3 linked regions of the Tamandua tetradactyla genome follow. The main gene of each other region encodes a partner of the protein of the gene in region 2 in a complex. Links are inferred from orthologs where the notes say so. Each region holds a gene or a part of one and is shown on either strand. Other genes may lie near its edges.

Region 1 (7,400 bases), on a different chromosome or scaffold from region 2:
TCCTCTTTCACTGGCATAAAAAAATACATACTATACCTAAGGCTAAAGCTACCAAAAATGCGCAAGACTTTTAGGAAGATATACATTTTTAAAAGGCAACTAAAGAAAACCTAATTAAATGGAAAGATATAACCTGTTAATGCATGTGAAGACTCAATATAATATAGATGTTAATTCTCCTTAAATTGATTTATAGATTCAATCAAAATTCCAAAATTATTTTTGTGGAACTTGACAATCTGACTCTAAATTTCATATTGAAGTACAAAGGGTCAAGTAAGAAAGTGGGCCAAGACTTGCTCTACCAGATTCCAAGATTCCTCCATCATACCATACACAAAAATGAATTCCTGGTGGAATTGTGAAATACATAACCATAAAAGCTTTAGAAGATGATATCTGAAAAGATCATTATTATCTCTAAGTAGGAAAGAATTTCTTAATCAAGAAATGCCATACACTAAGCAAAAAGGAAATGACTGGCTAAACTGAACTATCTTAAAAGAAAAGATTTTTGTATATCAAAATATACTAAAAAGAGACCAGGAAGCTGGAGAATATATATGCAGTACAAATATCTGATAGAGAACTGGTATCCAGAGTATTAAGAACGTGCAGAAGTTGATAAGAAAAAGATAGCCAATCCAACAAAAAATACTTGAACAGATAACAAAAGATGAAATCCAAATGGTCAACAAACCTATGAAACAGTTATTAATAATGAAGGAAATACAAAGTAAGACCTTAGTGATATATCACTATATACCTACCAGATGAGCTAAAATTTAAAATTGGACAACACCAAGTGTGTTGAGATTGTGGAACAAGAACTCTTATCCTGCTGATAGGAATGTTAGGATATATAAATCTTAGAGAAAAGCACACACTTGCACCTCAGCACATTTATAAGAATGTTCATAGCAGCATTATTTGTAAGTCTCATACAGCAAACATAATTCTCAGAATGATTAAATTATAGGGTGTATTTTTACACAATAAAATTCTATATCGTATACTAAAATTATACATAATACACATTAAGTGGAAGGAAAATGCAAAATGAAATAATACATATGTAATATTGGTGAGACTAAACAATATTGTTTAGAAATATACATATAGTATTTATCAAAATTTATTTTGGGGCTTAATATTTAATCACTTTTTGTAAAGGTTCAATGTTTACTGAAAAGCATATGTATTCTTCTATTTGCTACAGGATTTATGTGCATTCATTATATAAATATAATATGCATACATAGATCAGTGTTAATTTGTCTGCTTGATCTATCGATATGAGAAATTTAAGTTTTAAAAATTCCTATCATGACTGCGGATTTATCCATCTTTCCTTTTAATTCTTTATTTTTACTTCATGCTTTTCCAGGCTATATATGGTTAGTTGTACAAATGCACATGATTATCATATTTTCCTAGTGGATTTTTCTTTGTAATGCAATTTATGTCCCTCTTTGCCCATATTAATGCTACTTAATTTTAATACTTTGAAGAATATGGCTATAAAATATTTTGTTAGAATTTGCCTGATGTGTCTTTTTTATCCCTTTATTTTCTATGCACTACTTGTTTAGTTTTGTGTATTTTTAGTGTTTTGCTTTTAAATTGCCTTAGTAATAATAAACTGGACAGCTAGGCAGGTAGCCATGCGATTAGATTAGGTATCTAGTAACCTAGCCTGGACCATCAACAAGTGGCATTTAATTTTTTCTTTGTTTTTGTTTTCTTGTTGTTGCATTTAATTTGGAGGCTATTTCCAGGAAATCATTTTTCTGAGCTCTCGAGGGTCTCATGTAAAATCAGGATTTGGTTGGTAGAGGCTTTATTTTTTCTACTCTCACTTGTTAAAATGGATTAAAAGATTAACTTTACAAATGGGAAAACAGGTATTTTGGGGGTTAAAAATTTAAAGTCACTGCCATTATTTATATCATTTGGAAACAGGCATTATGAAATAAACATCTCTCAAAGTTAAAGAACTTTTTTTTAAGGCTTTCGAAAAAATTAAATGCTTGTGGCTGTTGGTTTTTTCTGTTCATTTTCCTATTAAAAGGCTCAAAGAAACATTTTTCAAGTAAAAACACACTTTATGGGCTGGTAGCTTTGTAAATGAGGGGGGTTACTAGAATTGGGAAAGATGATTCGATTGGAAGAGATGGAGAGATGGTGCATTGAGTCTGTGATTAGATCAGGGGATTAATTCAATTAGAATTCTGATAGTATATATAAAGCCTGATCATAACCACAGATTTTTTTTATATATAAACAGCCTCTCCTAAAAGCAAATCATCTTTCTGAGTCTCGGTGTATCTTCATTCAAAATCAGGATTTCAGACTAGCAGAAAGTAAGTTACTTTTCTCCCCCTTCAAAATATAAAACAGACAAAAGCAATAGCTTTTTACATTAGAGTGTGTTTTTTTCTTGTTAAAACTCATTTTTTCATTCATTCATTCATTTGGAAGATGTTTATTTCGTTGTGTTTTTTGCCTGTTGGTGCCAGGTGTTGTTTTTGGTGCTTGGCTCACATCACTGAACAAAACAAAGATCCTTGCGCTTGTAGAATCTATATTCTGCATGGAAAACATAGATGAAGGATAGTAAAGGTAACATATAATTAGCCTATACAGGATAATGGAAGATGATACATGTTATGTAAAAAGAAAAAAGTAGAGCAAAAGAGGTTAAGGGAGATATGGAGTGTAGGGTATTAAGAAAGAAAGGGGGAGGAAAGTTGCAGTTTTAAATAGGGCTGTCAAGTAGTCCTCATCTGAGCAAAGACTTAAATAAGGAGGGCAAGATTGTCTGTTCTGGGTGGAAGAAACAGATAGTGCAGGGGTCCTAAGGCAGGAGTGCTGGGTGTGCTCAAGCAATACCAGGTAGCGATGTAGCCAAGAGGGGCATGTGCAAGAGATGAGGTTTAAAAAAAAAAAAAGGAGGGAAGGGACTGGAACAGGAGAGCTTTGTAGGCCATCAGGTGGACTTCGGCTATGTTGTGTGGGAAACCGGGAGTCAATGAATCCCACCTGTCTGACTGGATGCCTTTTTATTCTCATCCCATCCAGATGTATTAACTTATTTTTTTTTAACTGTTGCCAAACTGATGCTGTGAAGTGAAAATTCATTGTTAGTTCAGTGTAAAATCATGGTGGCTTGGACTAGGGCGGTGGCCATGGATTGAAAAGTGATGGCCAAATTTAGGGCATATTTTGAAAGAATTAGCACGATTTACAGATGAACTGGATGTGAAGGATGAAGAAAAGGGAACTCAAGAATGAGCCCTGGCATTTTGGTTTGATGGTAGTGTCATTTAATGAAATGTTTAAGAGTGGAGGAGGAAAACTTTCTATAAAGAAAATCAAGATTTTCATCTTGGACTTAAGCGGAAGGGACTTTTCCACTGTTGTTTTCCCGTTTCAAAGTTACAAAGAAAGAGTTTAGGGAAACCGCTTTTAAATGTTTAGTTTTGTGAAATTTTTTACATCTGAAAATGAGTTGGGGAGATTAGTTTCACTTACTCAACAAATATTTATTGAGTGCCTACTATGTGCAAGGACTATGTGATGACCTATCAAGATGAACTCAGCAAACAAGATCTCTACTGAGTGCTTTTTTTTTTTTTTTGCGACGGGAGAGGGGAGATATCTGATTTTTTTTCCTGTTGATTGTCTTATTAAAACTTCATCTAACGCTTGAGTAGCCATCTTATTTATAATTGCATCTTGTGCTCTGGCAGTTGGGCCCACCGTTCTAAACGCTCAATGTCCGGTGAATAAACGAATGAATCGTTAATACTGACATCTTCCCTCCCACTAGAACTCACACTTAAAAATAATAATTTTAACAAACAATACTAATACAACCTTTGCTTTGAAGTCTAATATTTTTGCAGGAATGGTACCTTTATAAAGATCGTGGTTGCCCCCGTACATATTTGTTCTTTCTTCATATCCAATTAAATGAAAACACTAGCTTTTCCGTAGCCCAACTCTCTAGGCTTGTTGGGTCTAGTTCAGGAGAAAGGAAGCAGGAGCCGGTGGATTTAAACAATTTGGTGTAATCCTTTTCCACGCTCTCTCCCGCTAGTCGGGGACGTGGTGTCGGCTACCCGGGGCTTTCCGTCCACGCAGTACCGGAATGAAGGAGTCTGGGAGGGGGTCGGGGAAGGAAAAGACGGAAGAGACATTAAGTAATTGGTTCTTGAAGGTATAAAATGATATTTAGGGTCTACTCTAAAGCTCTGATTTCAAACGCCCGCCCCCTGAGCCGTTTCGGCCCCGCCCCTTGCTGTCGTCACTCCGACTTCCACCTTGGCCTCTGCGGATTGGTCTTTGTCTCAGCCTCCAAGGGGCGGCTAAAGCGCTTGGGTTTTGCTTCCGGGTCTTGGGCTTCGGCCTTGGGCGCAGAGGTTTTTGGGAACTAGGAGTCGTGATGGTGTCTGAGTGAGCTCCGGGTGTTCCTGCTTCAGATCTCCGCCAAAGTGAGCGGCAGGTGGGTAGCAGATTCTCTTTCTCATCTGGGAGGTGGGGCGAGAAAAGAAGGTTAGTCGGGCGCTGGAGAAGCGTCAGCGAGTTCCTGGAAATAGCCGAGAGCGGGCTCCCGGGGGGACGGAGTGATAAAGAATCCGGGGGAGTTGTGGGAGGCAGCGGCGCCCCCGGCGGCAGAAAACCCTGTTTTTCCCTCTGGAGACACGCCTTTCCCTTTGGAAAAATATAGAGAAGTATACCAGAAATAAAAGATCCGTCCAGTTCTCCCATCCTTCCACATTGTGGCTTTTCCGAGGGCTAAGGGCGTTTAGTGTCACGTCTGCTAGGCAATATTTTAACCAACTACTTAAAGCTGAGAGTAACATAAGGAACAGGCCTCCGATTTTTGGTTATCGGAATCCTGTGAGGTGAGGCTCTTGTGTTTGAGAATTTGTTTAATTCTAACCTACAAAAAAATCTGATTTATAGGGTGATGGCTGTTGTAATAGAATAACTGAATCAATAAGATTGCTGGAGAATTTTTCCTATGTACCTGTCATTTGAAGTTTAACGAGCTTTTCTCCAGCTTAACTTTTCTCTAGGATACTTAATGACTTTGTCAGTGATATTTTAAAGTATCATTTTGTTTCTGTGGCTACTAGCCTATTTGCTGTTGTGCAAGTTTTAGATAAAATGGAAACCTTAGGGAGTCTAGTTGAGTTGAGGTTTTTTAAGTCATTCATGGCAGTACTGTAATTTGCAAGAGTTTTGACATGGTGAATCTCATAATTGCAATAACTCTACAGATGGCAGAAACAAACTAGGTGACTTGGCCCAGGCCACACAGGGGGAAGAACTGGAATATAAACACAGGTCTTCACTACAAAATTTTGTGTTTAGTAACAGCTTCCTAAGAAGCTGCATTCCTTGTATACCTTTAACGTCATAATTTGTTATCCTGAGAACTTTGAGAAAACTATGTTTTGAAAATTATTTCACAAGGTTGACTATTGATTAAAACTTTATTAAATCAGTTTATCATATTGGAAATAACTTTGATACTATTTTTCTTCAAAGCATAAAAGATGACAACAGCAGCCAGGCCAACTTTTGAACCTGCAAGAGGTGGAAGAGGAAAAGGAGAAGGTGATTTGAGTCAGCTCTCAAAGCAGTATTCCAGCAGAGATTTACCCTCTCATACAAAGATAAAATACAGGTAATAAAGATACTCATTTTTTCTTGTTTACAGAATAAGACCAAGTGCATTTAATTGCATGGTCCTGAGACAGTAGCATGTTTGGGTTGTGTCATTTGAATTGTCTACTTTCATAGAAATAGAATATAATAGAGTATGTTTAACACTGAAATTATACTTTCTGATTGCAAACTTTCACAAACTTTCCATTAAACAGAAATTCCTATTAACTGGGAATTTCCATATGTAAGTGAAACAAAAACTGATACCTGATTACCTCAAAGAGACCATGCATCATCATGATTACCTCAGAGAGACCATACATCATCAATGCTGATCAATATGAGATTTAAAGTGTTACTATAAATAACTCTGAATTGATCTAATACTAAGAAAAAAATTCATCACAATGCAGCCTTACACAAATGAAATCAAAAGGAAAGATAGACGATAAAGATGGTATAACCTAGGAATGCCTAGAGTGTATAATGATAGTGACTAAATGTAGAAATTTTAAAATGTTTTTGCATGAGATAAAACGAGTCAATACTGCAGGGTGTTGAAAATAGACGGCAATTCATATTTTAAAACTTCAACTTCTGTGTGAAACTAAAGCAAAAAAATGTTTAATTGGCACAAAATTTATATTTTGACTTGTGCATTTCCTAATATAATTTATGTAGACAGTTTAATTGAACGCTGTAAGTACATGGAGCCTTGAGTAGGACATGAGATTTTGTAGGTTTGTCCAGAGTGATGCCCCTATTAAAAAAAAAAATTGCAGCCTTATTATGGGAAAGTATGTGATTTAGTTTGGGCTTCTTGAAATATAACCATCACACGAGTGCCTGTTAGTAAACTTCCGTTAGGTTAATGATCTTTTCTAGTTCCCTCTTATTCTTGAGAGACTGGAGACAAATGGGTTTTTTTGTGAATTGTTTCCATTTGCTACAGCCATATGTTTGTTTACAAATATTTTTGCCCTGCTTTGTTTCTACTTTAGACAAACTACACAGGATGCCCCTGAAGAGGTTCGTAACCGTGACTTCAGGAGAGAGTTGGAAGAGAGAGAGAGAGCTGCTGCAAGAGAGAAAAATAGGGATCGCCCAACCCGAGGTACCAGCACTATCCCAGATGTTTGTCTCATAAAATTATATGTTAGAGATAGTTTTTCCTTTCATCAGATAACTGGAAGGTACATACATATATATATATATATATATATTAGATATATATTGGTGTAAGCTGTAACACTTTTTTAAATGATTAGACATGATATCTGAGAGTCATTCCAATTCCATCTTTTTATGCTTCTGTATGAGAATGAACATGATTGATCCAGAGATACTCAGTAATCATCATGTCTGTTCAGATCAAGGGGTGTAAGACTGTTTACACCAGCCGTGTGTTGTGAGGTTCCGTTGGTTCTGACTAAGGCTTTCCCATTTGTCACTGACAATTGGCGGTCCTCTAGAGGCATCAGATATAATATCTTTTCCAGTGTATGTAGACTGTTCCTAAATTTCCTGAGAGGGACCACCAGTTACTGCTGCGTAATCAGTAAGATCCCAGTTGTCATGATGATTAAAATCTAAGTTGTATGTGCCCACAATTCTCTAAAATGTTATAGGAAGTATAGTCTTTGTTTCAGTAAGCTCAATGATGATTGTTTTTCCGCAGAACATACAACCTCCTCCTCAGTGTCAAAGAAGCCTCGGTTAGA
Region 2 (5,975 bases):
ATCCCCCTCTCATCTTCCAATATTTGCTTATGTCTATAGTTTATCTGGTCCCCCACCCCCTAACCCCAATATCTCAATCCCACCAGTATGACGGAAGCCCCAAGAGCCTGGGGAAAATGCGACATAGACCTCAACACATATTTGGTGAACGTGGAGTGAAGAACGAACTTGTATGGCAGCTTGTCAGTCCTGAAAGCATAGCCACAAAGTCCCACGAGAATGAGGGGTGGCGCTGGACAGCGAGCAGAGAGGGCAACCACAGCAAAGACTTTCAACAGGGGAGGGAAATGCCTTAAGGCATTGTGGGCCTGATCAGAAGGAAAAAAAGGCTTGGGAAAATTCGGGATGGGGGAATATGGTAAAGCTGGGGCCGGAAGGATTTAAGCGTCAGGCAGGGAAGGCTGGCCCCGCGACGCCGGCCGTCTCCTGTTGGGACGCCCAAAGAAACGTCAGCCCCCAAGCCTTCCCAGGACCGCTCCGCTCGAACACAAGGATTCCACACCAAGAAACAGAACAATTTCTAAACTTTATGGTGAAAAGCAAGACGACAATCGACCAGTCACAAAACGAACTTCCAAATCGCAGCCGCCTTGCATCACGCTGGCCGGCTCTAGGCTCTCCCCACGGCCCCAGTGCTCAGGGGTCCCGCCGGCCCCGGAGCGGTGCTCCGAAGGGTCCCCAGGACGGCGGGGCGTGAGGGACGTCCCCGGAAGGCGCCAGTGCGCAAGGGGGGCGTGCGCGGCGGCCCCGGAGGCGGCGGCCCGGCGGGGCTCAGTTCTCCTCGGGCTTGTCGGCCGGCGGCCCGCACGGCTGCAGCATCTTCTCCATCAAGTTGAAGCGGACTCGCGCCTTGCTCTCGTTCTCGGCGATGGCGAAGTAGTTGAGCAGGTCGAAGTGGCCCATGTAGGAGCAGTACGAGTCCCGGTGCTGGTTCACCAGCCACTCCCACTTGGTGGTGTCGGCGTGGCCCGTGCCGATGTACTTGGACTGCAGGTGCTCCAGCTGGCTGTGGATGGTGTAGCGGTCCGTCATGTCGCCGTCTTCCCTCTGCTCCGGGCCAGGGACTGCGGACGAGCAGCAGCGGCCGCTCCGAAGCTTCGCGCCGGGTGGAAGTCGGCTGGGAGCTCGTCGGCGCGCACAGTCGCAAGGCGATGGCGTCACGGCGCCGCCGCCGCCGCGTGGCCTGCCGGCCACAGGTCTCCGAGGCGGAAGCGGAAGCGTGTTCCGGCACCAAATTGGGGTTGCCTAGGCCACGAAGCCACCGCCCCGCCCCTCTCGGGACAGCCCCGCCCCCCGTCGCGTGGCATGATGGGCTTCGTGGCGGCCTGAGGGTGCCTGCATCCGGGGACTCGCGAGCGCCGCGGGCCTGCGCGCGCAGACGCCTGGGGAAGGCCGGGCCCGGGTCGCCTCGGAACCTTAATGGCGGGCGGTGCCTGCCGGGCGGGGAGCCACCTCGTGGGCCGGGGCCGTGGGCCCGGGGAACGGGAGGCGCAAGACGAGGGGCCACAGGCGGCCGGGAGAGGGGCCTCGCGCTGCCGGCCTGCTCGCCGAGCCGCCGCGGCCCCTCCCCGCCACGTCGGGCCTCCTCCCCGCGCTCGCGGCCCGCCCCCGCCGCCCAGCGCGCAGCCCGCCCGGGACGCGCCGTTCCCGCGCCCGGAACGCCCTGGTCCCCTTGGCACGCGCCCCCGCCCTTAGCTCAGCGCGAAAGCATCTGGAAGCCCGCCCTGCCCGCTCCAGACAGCTGCGGCGGCCCCGGCCTCCTCGCGCGAGCGGCTCCTCCTTCCCGCCGCTTCGCCGCCCGGTGTGGGTTTGGGGAAGTTCCCCGGTCGGGCCTGCGCGCCTGCGGCCTCCGCGCGCCCCGGACCTTCGGGTCGGAGGGACAGCCGGACCGCCGCTGAAGAGGGCGGGTTGTAGAGACCTTTAGGGCATTCGTGTTCTGCCTGTTAGGCCGGTAAACATTCCGTTCCTGCGGGCAGAGATTCAAGCCCTATAAATGTCCCCCCGGGTCGCCCCTTTCTGCACGGCGGAGCCTTTGCACGGTGGGGGTCCCCCTTCACGTACCGCAGTGATAGACTTGGCTTCGCTTCGTCAGCAGATTATTGTGATGATCTTTCTGGGAAGTTGGCAGTAATAGGTTAAATCAAGCCTTACAATACCTGTGGGTTTGCAGAGTTATCAAACCTTGTCATTCCCCCCTCCCCCCGACTTTGTTTTTTCTTTGTTAGATACAAATAAACTTGCAATTCTCCGTGTTTCCCCTCCCTAGTATGCTCGCCTCACCACGCTATCGGGGACTTAGAGTTCACCATCCCTCAGCCTGTCTCGTTTGCTGAAAGTGTGTCCACGAGCAATGGGTGGTGCCGTCAGGCAGGTTTTAAGGTTTCGTGTAAGTGGCACGTTGTATGTGCTGTAAATGTTGCTTTAGTCACGCCTCAGTATCCTTTGGATACAATGTATACCTTTAGTTCATTTATACCGTTGTGCAGTATGCCCACTCTGAAGAACGGACATTATTTCCAGATTTTCGTTGTTAGAGACAAAACTGCGATGAATGTTCTCATGGAGACTCATACCTCTTGGGCCTGCACGTGAGGTTAGCCCTGCTGGGACGCAGGCGTGAGTGTTGGCAAGCTCTGCTGGATCCTGCCGAGGTGCTCTCCAGAGTGCGTCTACCGTGCGCGGAATGAGAATCCCTGTCCCTTCACATTCTTCGGACATGTGGTGTCCTGAGACTTTGGGTGGGGTGCGGGTACATGGTCGGTGAATCGAATCCAGGTCTCCTGCATGAAAGACGAGCATTCTACCACTGAACAACCCGTGCGCCCCTGAGACGTTTTAAATTTGCAAATCTGATGCGTAGAATGGAATTCGTTGTGGCTTTCATTAGCATGTCCCTGATTACAAGGAAGACTGGGCATCTCCATACATGTTTACTGTATCCACGTGGATTTCTGCTTCTGTGAACTGCATGTTCATTTCCTTTCCTTTGCCCACTTTCCTATCGGATGATGGTATTTTTCTTACTAATTATTAGGAGATCTTTAAATAACCAGAATATCAGGCTTGCAAGTTATGGGTGACGAAAGTATGTGGTCCTTTATGGTGTCCTTTTTTTTTTTTTTTTACATGGTTACGCAACAGGAATCGAACCCGGGTCCCTGGCATAGCAAGTGAGAACGCTTCCTGCTGAGCCATCGCGGCCTGCCCACTATGGTGTCTTTTTTTACAGAAAATGTAAAGAAATTTTTGTTATATAGAAGTTCTTAAATTTAGTCAGATTTATCAGTCTTCCTTTATGGTTTGGGCTTTTTGTATTTGGTTTAAACCAAATTAAGGAAAACTCTTTTCTGCACTGGGACCATTGAAATAGTCTCTATTTTCTTCTAAAAATTTTAAAATTCTGCGTTTTCATATTTAAGATGAGTCCACCTGGAGATTTGACTTATTTTAAGGATCGAATTTTTAATTTTTCCCCCTATGGGTAGCCAGTCCCTGTAATAACTAATGATTCACTAAACAGTTCACCTGTTCTCTGATCATCTTTAATGCTTCTTTTATATATGTGTGGGTTTGTGCCAGGGCATTCTGGTCCATTGGCACAGGTGGAGGGTCTTGCTATTTTGTAAGATAAGGCAATAAAAGATATTTTGTATCAGGTAATAAAATAGGGGCCAAGCCCTCACAGTTTTCTTCTTTCATAAATGTCTTGGTTAGTCTTTTATATATATATATATAATTTTTTATTGTGAAATATAACATATATGCAAAAGCAATAAATTCCCCAGTACATTTTAACAAGTAGTTTTAGAACGAATTTCAAAGTTTGGTATGGGTTACAGTTCTACCATTTCAGGTATTTCCGTCTAGCTACTCTAAGACACTGGAGACTAAAAAATATCAGTATAATGATTTAGTAGTAATACTCATTTGTTAAATTCTAGGTTCCCTATTGCAACTCCTCCTTCTTCTTTGATCTGGCTCCCATTCTTTAGGAATATTTGGGCAATGACCATTCTAACTTCTCCATGCTGAAAAGGGATGTCGACATTATGGGTAGGGGATACAACTGGTTGATGCTGTTGGAAAGACTAATAACTCCGGGTTTCAGGGCTTATCTGGCTTGGAACCATCTGGAGGTTTCAGATTTCTGAAAAATAAACTTAGTAAGTGAAGCTTTATAGAGTCTTGGAGCCCTGGGTATTTTTTTTTTTTTTTTTTTGAGAATTAAAATTTTATTTCTTTGTAAATTTATCAACAGTGGTTTTAACAGTGCTTGTCTTCTCATCATATAACTTACGATGTGGAGCTACCCTCTTTTCTATGACATGGCAAATTGTAATTCTCCTAAGTTTAGATGAGCATGCAAAATTTTATCCTTTGCACTTTCAATGTCATGAAATGTCTTTAAGAGTTCCTTTCCTATGAAGTTTCTTGCCAGAATCACTTCCTCTGAGACATCTTTATCCTTTTAATCACAACCACTTTCTTCATTTATGTCTACAAGTCACCTTCATGAAGTTCCTCTGGTTGCACATCTAAAGTCTCTTGAGCAGCAGCAGTGTCGACATTCCCACAGTCGGCTGTACCTTCTGTAACTCCATTTCCATTCCATTTGAATCCTGTAAAAGTTTCCTACAGTACTACCCTGCACCACTGCGCAAAACAAGGATTAACTGTAACACTTGGGATCTGAGGCTGAATTTCACCACAGCATCTTTATCTGAACCCACAGCTTCGCCAGATAGCTTAATATTCATCAGTTTAGGCTGACTTCTGAAATGATGAAACCAGCCTTTTCTGACAGTAAAATGTCCTTTTCGGTCTCCTTGTAAAAAACATTTTCTTTCAATGTAGCAACTACCTTCAACGTTTTGGCCTGAATGCTAGTCAAACTGATTGGGATTTGTTTTTCACTACAGTCTTCCATCCAGAGTTGAAGTAAACCCTCCATTTCACCATGAGAGACTTGCTGTTCCTATGTGCAGTTTATGCCAGAAGATGTTAAAGTTACTTTACCTTGTTTTTCTGCATTCACTGGGTTTTTTCAATCTGGTTCATACTGTAGCTTCCTGCAGGGCTGGGTGTCTTCCTATCTTGGCTTTGCTGTCACCACTTTCAAATATTCTGATCACATACAATTTCACTTCCAGCATCATCACTTTGCATTTCTTCATTGCCCCATCATCTTTTCACCTTGACCAATTCCCTCTTTCTGTCATCCATTTTTGTAAAATGTCACTAAGCTTATCACTGGGAGACAACAAGGCTGTGCGTCTGCACACTTTGTTGCTTGTACGTGAATTGGGTAACAGATGCCCAGTGACCAAAGCAGACTGAAGAAATTATGTGATTTGTCATCGATCATGATGCACATTTGTTATTTGCGTAATGATTTATAGACAGAAGAGCACAAAGTCTTTGCGTAATGCAGCTGTTCATAGCACTGTGGTAACTGAAATTTTGACTGCATTTTTGGCAGCCTGGTGTCATCTAACTTAACTGTAGCGCCAGATGTTCACGCATATTGGAACTATGCAAAGCAAGGACTACCTTATTAAATAAATCTTCAAATTTCTGGTTAGATAAATCTCACAAACGATAGTTTTCTAAGAAAAACATCCTTCAGTTTTATTCCTCTCCAGCATATTTTAAGTAATTCACAAGACCCAGGTATCTTTTTCCAGCATCTCCAAGAATAAAATTCCTTCATAGGAATCTTTTTGACTGGAACCTTAGCCCCTCAATTCCATAGCGGTAAGTGTCTTGCCGAAAAGGTGTCATTGAATTAAGAGTCCACGTTTCTTCACGTTAGAATTTCGAACTCCTCTAAAGCCACATCCCTGAGGTCAACCCTAGGGATGGTCTCTGCGCTGGGGAGGGACCACCGGTGAGCAACGCGGGAGAGTGAGTGTTTCCAGGTTACTGTGCTTGGCTATTCTCGAGCCTCTGCTCTTCCCTAGGAGGTTAGAACTGTC
Region 3 (7,863 bases), on a different chromosome or scaffold from region 2:
TGTCAAATATGTTTGAGTCTATAGATTCCATCTGTTCCACTGTTCAAAAAAAATTTTTGATTGCCATAGTTTAAATATATACTTTAAACATCCGGTAAAGATAGATATTCCCCTTTCCCCAACCTTTTCCAAAAGTTTCCAGGCATTTGAGCTGGTAGAGTTTGGCATACCAATGTAATGTTATTTTCATTGGAATTAAAATTATTTATAGATTAATGGCATATCAGATATATTTATAATTTTTTATCTTACTATCCAAAATAAGACATACATTTCTGTTGATTCAAGTCTTTTCTATGTCTCTTAAATATTTTAAAAATATTTTTTAGCCATGTGTGCTGGTTTGAAAGGATATATGTACCTTAGAAAAGCCATGTTATAATCCCAATCCCATTTTGTAAAGGCAGCCATTTCTTCTAATCCCAATTCAGTACTGTTTTGAATCTGTAATTAGATCATCTCCCTGGAGATGTGACTCAATCAAGAGTGGTTGTTAAACTGGATTAGGTGGAGATGGGTCCCCACCCATTTGGGTGGGTCTTGATTAGTTTACTGGAATCCAAAAGAGGAAACATTTTGGAGAATTTGAGAGAGATTCAGAGGGAGCAGAGAACACCACAGTACCAATAAGCAGAGAATCCACCAGCCAGCAAGTTTCGGAGATGAATGAAAATGCCTCCTGGGGAACTGGAGAGAAAGCTAGCAGATGACGCTGTGTTCACCATGTGCCCTTACAGCCGAGAGAATCCATGACTGTGTTTGCCATGTGCCTTCTCACTTGAGAGAGAAACCCTGAACTTCATCGGCCTTCTTGAACCAAGGTATCTTTCCCTGGATGCCTTTGCTTGGACATTTCTATAGATTTGTTTTAATTGGATTTTCTCAACCTTAGAACTGTAAACTAGCAACTTATTAAATTCCCCTTTTTAAAAGCCATTCTGTTTCTGGTATATTGCATTCTGGCAGCTAGCAAACTAGAACACCATGTCTTGCAGATTTTTTTTACTTATTGCTGCATCAAAAATTTTGTGGCTTAAAACAACAGAAATTTATCCTCTCACTGTACTGGAAGCTAGAAATATGAATTCAAAATGTTGGCCGGGCCATATTCTTTCTCTCCCTCGCCCTAGATCCTGGCAGTCTCCAGTCATCGTTGGCATTTCTTGGCTTGTAACTGCTTCATTCCAAACTATGCCTCTGTTTTCACAGAGCATTCTTCTCTATGTCCCTGTGTCTTCACATGGTCTTCTTATAAGGACCCCAATCATTAGATCTAGGGTCTAATTCACCCTAATTCACTATGCCCTCATCTTAACTAATTCCATCTGCAAAGACCCTGTTTCTAAATTAGGTCACATTCTGAGGTTCTGGTAGATATGAATTTGGGGAAACACTAGTCCCAGTGCACTGGGCATCCTTATTTTGTAGTTGGCTAATGAGAATGTTTCTACTGTCCTATAAAACATGGTGCTGGTTTTTGGTAGCATACTTTTAAAAGAAAGTCTAAAAATACCTAAATTATAATAGCAAAATATTAAATCAAAATGCTCTAATCTTCTTAGTTATTGGTGTCAAGAAGCATTTATTTTAACTAAATCCATTGCAAATTATATATTTTTACAAAGAAATTACTATTTAGTAACAGTAGCAGAATTTAGTTTTATATAAACTAAATAAAATTTAGCATTAACTTATTAAATGTAATAGAAAACAATTCATTTTAATAAAATTTACAATAATCAGAAAGACACAACTGTTGGGCATGTAACACACACATACAAATTTAATAGCCTCAAATTAACATCTGAAGGGTGTGCAAGGGTAGTTCAGTGGTAGAATTCTTGCCTGCCATGTGGGAGACCCAGTTTCGAATCCTAATCCATGCACTTCCCCAGTAAACCAAACTAGCAAGCAAAATAAGCAAACAAGCAAACAAATAAACAAAAAATTCAACAAATTATGCTGCAATAAGGATTCCCACATGGAAAAACAATGAAATGTGACCCCACCGTACAGTATACCAAAAAAAAATTCACATCTAAATTAAGTTCTCAATGCCTCCCACCCCAAAATTGGGCGTCTAAAACTTAATAGCTTGCTCATTCCTTTAACAAATGTTGGAAACCTACCAGTGACAAATCAAGTAGATGGTGAGTATGCGATAGTGAACCTCATACCAAACTCATCCTAAATCGACTGGGATAAGGCTAAATTAAACAAATATTACCATCAAACCGGTTAGTATATGAAGTGAGTGAAGAAAACTGTAAATGTCACATTGTTATTTCTTCTATAAACACTGAAAATATTTCTACAAATTAGAAACTACAAATAAAGATAAAACTTTGAGAGTCACAATCATGTCCAGACACTTGTGCTTGTGAAGGGGGATGGGACGTCATAAAATAGAGGAAGGTAGAATTGTGATAAGCAGTACTTTGTCTGTCTGTCTCTGTGTCTCTCTCACACACACCACCCTGCTTAAATGTTTATAACTGACAGTGCATTCTAACTATTCCCCAGGTCTCCCTAGGCATTAATTGAAACAACAGCTCCCTAACTGCTTCACACTCTCCAGAAGCTTTGCTCCACCCTGTGCTGTCAGAATGCACTTGCTAACACTACCTCAGCTTTGGACGCATTCTTAGCATTGTGATAAACAATTAAAGACCACACTCCTGGAGGAAACATCCTTGTATTAATTTTCACAGGTTCTGACCTTAGGAGTTCAAATAGGAAATGACGGTGCCCCCCATTCTTCTCGTTCGAATTAATAAATGATGTCAAATCTGTAGTTCAAAGGCAGAAGGATACATTAACCAAAACAACTCAAAAGAATATTGTATATAAAATGAGTAGTATCTAGAAAACGTTATACATTTAGCTTTCTAAGCTGAGAAAAACAGGAAGAAGAAATAGTAATATTCATCATTTTTATGTTTAACATTAAGAAACGTCCCATAAAAAAATCTGATTAAAAGCTGAAGAATTGATTCCCAGTGCAAACCAAACAGACAAACAAAAAGCGGAAGAATATGGTACTCATATCTACATGGAAGTGACCTTCTAGCCCTGCTTAAGAGCAAAAGACAAGCACTTGAAGGAGAATGAAGAGACCTTCAGTCCTGGTAAGTAAACAACCAATTAGTAGAAAAGAAAACACATGCACAAAACATATAAAAAAAAATTAGCTAGGCTTTCCTTAAAATTTGCACTATCAGTCTCACTCAGACTTAATATTTGTATTTACATTAATATTCACTAATCTCTGCCCTAAGGAACGTCTCTGAGCCTTTTTGAAGCGCAGTAGTGCCACCTACTGCTCAAATAAGGCAGCTCTGGTTTTCAGCAGGGGCAGGGATCTTTCACCTTTTGTGGATCCTGAATCCCTTCATGAATTCTATGACATCTACAGATCCCCTCACCAGAAAAACTCAGGCTCTTACATAAACACAGAATTTGCATACAATTTCAGGTAATTCATGAATTAACTCTGTTAAATGAGTATATTCTAGTGCAATTTACCTCAATCACTGCAATGTTTATATGAGTTTGGGGTTATAAATTAAACATTTCCAGGATGATTAAAGATCTAACAAGTTAATGGTCCCAACCAGACGTTGTCATATATATTACCCTTGCTTACATTTCTATGGTTGTATTGCCATTTAAAATCATGTTATTTTGTATAGTTATTACTATGTATAATAAGATTTCACTTCCCAAGTATATAGTTTATAATTATGGCATTTCCTTGCAAGACCCATCATCAATTGCTATTTTTACAAAAAATACGTTTTAATCTAAACTTACACTTAAGTAAGGTTTTTCAAGTAAAAACCTAATCTTAATGCTCTCACTGAATTAAAAATTAATGAATTTTGAAATAAAGTTAGTCATATTGCTAGGCTGTTGATAGATTCTTTTTCTTCTCAAAGCATATGCAGTATGCTCTGATGACAGGACCAGGATAACTGATTACGTTAAGAAAGAAGCAGACTCAGTGAAGTGTTTGTCTGAGTTTGCAAATGCTCAGCTCTGTCAATTTTTCTTTTTAGATACCAAAATAATTGGGCAGGATTAATTGTAAAGCGCAGGTTTTACCTGGATAAAAAACAAAATAACAGTATCGTGGCGCCAGGATTTCCATGGATAAAAATGGCTAAAGTCTCCAGCTCTTTCTTCCACCAGCTCTGGGAAGCTGTGCTTGGTTTCTCGAAGTTGCATTAATTACCAGGCAAGTAGAAAAACGCCGTTATATAATTTTGGAGAGATTTTTTAAAAATCATGTAGCAGTAAAGAAATGTGGGGTTTTACCACAGCTGTTAATAAAATTCCTTTCCATACCATCCAGGCCAAAATTTATCAGACAGAAACAAGCATTCAGCAGCACTCCCTCAATAAAAGTTTTAATGGACTTAATGTAATTGTTTAAGGGACGAGAGCTACAGCGACGACTTCTGCTTTCAGCCAGGTGGTGGCTCTCGGCGACAGAAAGCGCAGAGGCGACCCCCAAGGACGGTGTCTTCGCCCGGAGGGCTCGCTCTCCAGACCCTCCCTAAAGTGACTTCTCCCATTTTGTGAATAAAACGTCATCCGTTGCTAGGAAATACAGAGCAAACAACCACGGCCCCAAAGCAAAACATTTAAGACTGAGCGTAAATTAGAAAATATCCTCATTTCAAGATTTCTTCAAAGGGGGAGAGAACCTGCGGTCAGACGCTGGAGAAGCTCCCGCCCATCAGCCCCGAGACTCCGCCCCTAGAGGCGGCCCCAAGGAGGAAGGTCCGCCCCTTGTGCCCCCGAAGGCCCGCGGGAGAACTTATTGCGGGCGCGTGGGCCACGTCACTTCCGGCGTCAAGGCGCCCGACTACGGAAGCCGCTGTTCAGTGGTGGCGGTGGTTTCGGCGTTCGGGTTTGGTGCTCCTTTGCTGCCCGAGGGTTGGGAGCCGCGGCTGCAGCATGGTCGAGGTAAAGTGACACCAAAATAGACGGGAGCAGTTTGATTCTGGATTGCTTTTCTTTGACGGTAGGCTCGGGGGTTCAAGGATGCTGGGAGTCTTGTGGCAAGTGGAAGCTGTTTGGCCGAGGCCCGGTGGTCTCTTAAGGTTCTCGGAGAGGGAGTGAGGCCGGGAAAGAACACGAGTTTGAAGTTCCGGCGGGCGGGAAGCCTGAAAAAATCTCTCCAAGTCCGCTTGGCCCTGGTGAGATGGGACTTGTCCTCGGGGGCAGGGCTTCTGTTGATGTTTGACCGCTGGGGCTTGCCGCCTCAGGTGTAGTATCAGTGATTCTGGGCGGTGGAAGACCGACGATCTTCTTTCTTGCGTTCAATTCGTCTTTTATCCCAGCTCTTCCCCCACGGAAGCCTGCTGTTCTTGAATTCTTGCGTCTTTCCCTACGTTGAGTAGTCATTCTATTAGCAGGTCTTATTCGTCTTACTTCAGAAACATTTGTTGACTCTGCCCATCGTTCTCCATTTCCCCTGCCATCACAGACTAATAGCGTCTTTTGCTTGGACTAGTGCATTAGCTCTCAGCTTGACTGCTTGCTTCCATTTTTATTACCCTGTACATTGATCTGTTTAAACTATAAATTGGAGAACTTGACTGGCCTTATGTTCCAAGTAGAACAAAAATCTAGACTTCCGCAGTGTTCTAAAGGACCGTACCCGATCTGAACCTTTCCTTGCCTACCCTTGCAACCTCATCTTGCACCGCAACCCACCCTCCTATCCTGCATACACAGCTCTACTGCAGTTTCTGGCATTTTTTCAGTTACTGAATATTTTGTATGTAGAGTTACTCTTTGCCTGGACTACTCTTACCTGAACTCTTTGCAAGGCAAACTCCCTTCTCTCTCTGCTTGAATATCTCCTCAAAGCGTTCTTTTCTAACCATCCTACATTAAGTATTTTTTATTTCCTCCCTTCTCTTGCTAAGCCCTTTGCTTGTTTCCTTCATGGTGCTTAACAAAATGGGGAGTTATTTTGTTTATTTTTGTTTCTCCTTGGACCACCTTGACTATGACTGCCTGCTCATCGTTCTGTGGTTAGATTCTAGTACAATACCTGCCATACACATACCTGTATGCCAGATTAATCTCAGATATCATTCAGTTGGTATATGCTGGGGCTCTGGCCAAAGAGGATGTTCCTCTTCTTTGAACTTGCCTCCTGTAGCTTACTAGAGATAACTGTGGTGAGTGGTACAAAGCTTAAGTGCATTACTAATATGATTTTTAATTGGGTTATGATATGTGTAATTTGCGGCTGGATGTATAATTACCCCTTCTTTCTTTCTAGGAGGTGCAGAAACATTCTGTGCACACACTTGTATTTAGGTCATTGAAGAGGACCCATGATATGTTTGTAGCAGATAATGGAAAACCTGTGCCTTTGGATGAAGAAAGGTAGGTATAGTTCTTCGCCAATTGTTAAGAATATTTAAACTTCAAATAGTGAGGGGAAAAAGAGAAGAAAGGGGAACTATTTAATCTTTGAAGGTTGGTTAGTAATTCTCACACTTATGGGAAAACTATTCAGTAATGAGTGTTGTTTTTGGTATAAGTTAAGCTAATTTAAATTTTTTTTGGCCTTATCCTTTATAGTAAAACTCCCATTAATTAATTGCATTTTATGAATATCCAGTAATTATGAAAGTCCCTTTCAGGTGTTTTATTTTATAATCAGTCATTTTATATGTGCTTTCAGCTTCCTGCTGCTCTCAGAGCCTTGCTGAGCTTAAATTGTATTGTACCTGGCCAGTACCTCTGTTCACATCCTTTCTTGTTAGTGTGATGAAGATTTTTGAGTGAGGTCATATTTTTGATTTTACATCTCTGATTCCAGTCTGAGATTACATATTGCAGTGTTCCTTCTTTGTCCTTTACTTTCTTTTATAAAATCTACCTAATTCCTCAAACAAGCTTTTATATTTAATCTATGCTTAAAAAGAATGGAAGTGCTTTTTTTTTAAATTAAGCTAATTAAATACTTTAGTTCTATCTTTTAAATATAAATTCAGTAAAGTTTGCTACAGACGCTTTTACTGTATTTTAATATTCAGACATTTGAAGGAACATACATTGACTTGAATGTTTTTAAAGGACATTTATCTCTATATCTTTAAATCGGTTGGACTCTTGGCAACTCATCATGAAAGATTTTCTATTTTGTATTTAATAGTTAACAAGCTTAAATATTGCTTAGACTTAATGGATGCTATGTGTTGAATTATAAGCAAAAGTAAATATACAGTGTGGAAACGCACTTGGACATTTTGAAGTGAGTTTTAAATCTTAATGGAATTTTTTTTATGTAGTTGGACAAAAAAGTTATTTAAGTACTTGTCTCCAAGCTAGTCATAAAATTTGCATTTGTGAATATATTTAAACTATTTAAAATACACTCTTATGTTTATACTTTTTAAATAGTCACAAACGAAAAATGGCAATCAAACTTCGTAATGAATATGGTCCTGTGTTGCATATGCCTACTTCAAAAGAAAATTTTAAAGATAAGGGCCCACAAACTACAGCAGATTCATATGGTCATAAACAGTATCCTGCTAATCAAGGTGAGTATGGCATTATCAGAAATGGCAGGACTTACATTTGAATTTTAAAAATAGAAAAGCAAATAAAATTCCTTATTAGTGCCTCTCCTAGAAGGATTGATTAAAACCATGTAGTATTTAACTGCTATATCAGTAGTAATATTGGACGTCTCGATTTCCTCATGGGACTAGTGAATGAAATTATTGGTTGATGGCTTCTCTCTTATAGGAAGTATAGATGGTAGAATAATAATGGGAGAAGTTCATAAGATGTAGCAAAGGTCACAGTGGACACAAGGAAGAAATTCAG

The links. Proteins that work in one complex are often made in the same cells at the same time.
Region 1: SF3B5 (region 2) and CWC15 share a complex: the UniProt entries of both Homo sapiens proteins name them as parts of the minor spliceosome. The link is inferred for Tamandua tetradactyla from reciprocal best matches to the Homo sapiens genes SF3B5 and CWC15.
Region 3: SF3B5 (region 2) and PLRG1 share a complex: the UniProt entries of both Homo sapiens proteins name them as parts of the minor spliceosome. The link is inferred for Tamandua tetradactyla from reciprocal best matches to the Homo sapiens genes SF3B5 and PLRG1.

What each region holds. Positions count from the first base shown.
Region 1 is NC_135334.1:47,986,921-47,994,320, forward strand, and holds the start of CWC15 (spliceosome-associated protein CWC15 homolog), read left to right. Parts: upstream 1-4,376; 5' UTR 4,377-4,507; exon of another isoform or gene 4,508-4,520; intron 4,521-5,559; 5' UTR 5,560-5,567; coding exon 5,568-5,698; intron 5,699-6,680; coding exon 6,681-6,793; intron 6,794-7,357; coding exon 7,358-7,400. UniProt on the Homo sapiens protein: Involved in pre-mRNA splicing as component of the spliceosome. Component of the PRP19-CDC5L complex that forms an integral part of the spliceosome and is required for activating pre-mRNA splicing.
Region 2 is NC_135351.1:43,423,185-43,429,159, forward strand, and holds SF3B5 (splicing factor 3B subunit 5), read right to left. Parts: upstream 1,170-5,975; 5' UTR 1,033-1,169; coding exon 772-1,032; 3' UTR 508-771; downstream 1-507. UniProt on the Homo sapiens protein: Component of the 17S U2 SnRNP complex of the spliceosome, a large ribonucleoprotein complex that removes introns from transcribed pre-mRNAs.
Region 3 is NC_135348.1:12,422,382-12,430,244, forward strand, and holds the start of PLRG1 (pleiotropic regulator 1), read left to right. Parts: upstream 1-4,839; 5' UTR 4,840-4,962; coding exon 4,963-4,971; exon of another isoform or gene 4,972-5,029; intron 5,030-6,301; coding exon 6,302-6,408; intron 6,409-6,725; exon of another isoform or gene 6,726-6,786; intron 6,787-7,431; coding exon 7,432-7,574; intron 7,575-7,863. UniProt on the Homo sapiens protein: Involved in pre-mRNA splicing as component of the spliceosome. Component of the PRP19-CDC5L complex that forms an integral part of the spliceosome and is required for activating pre-mRNA splicing.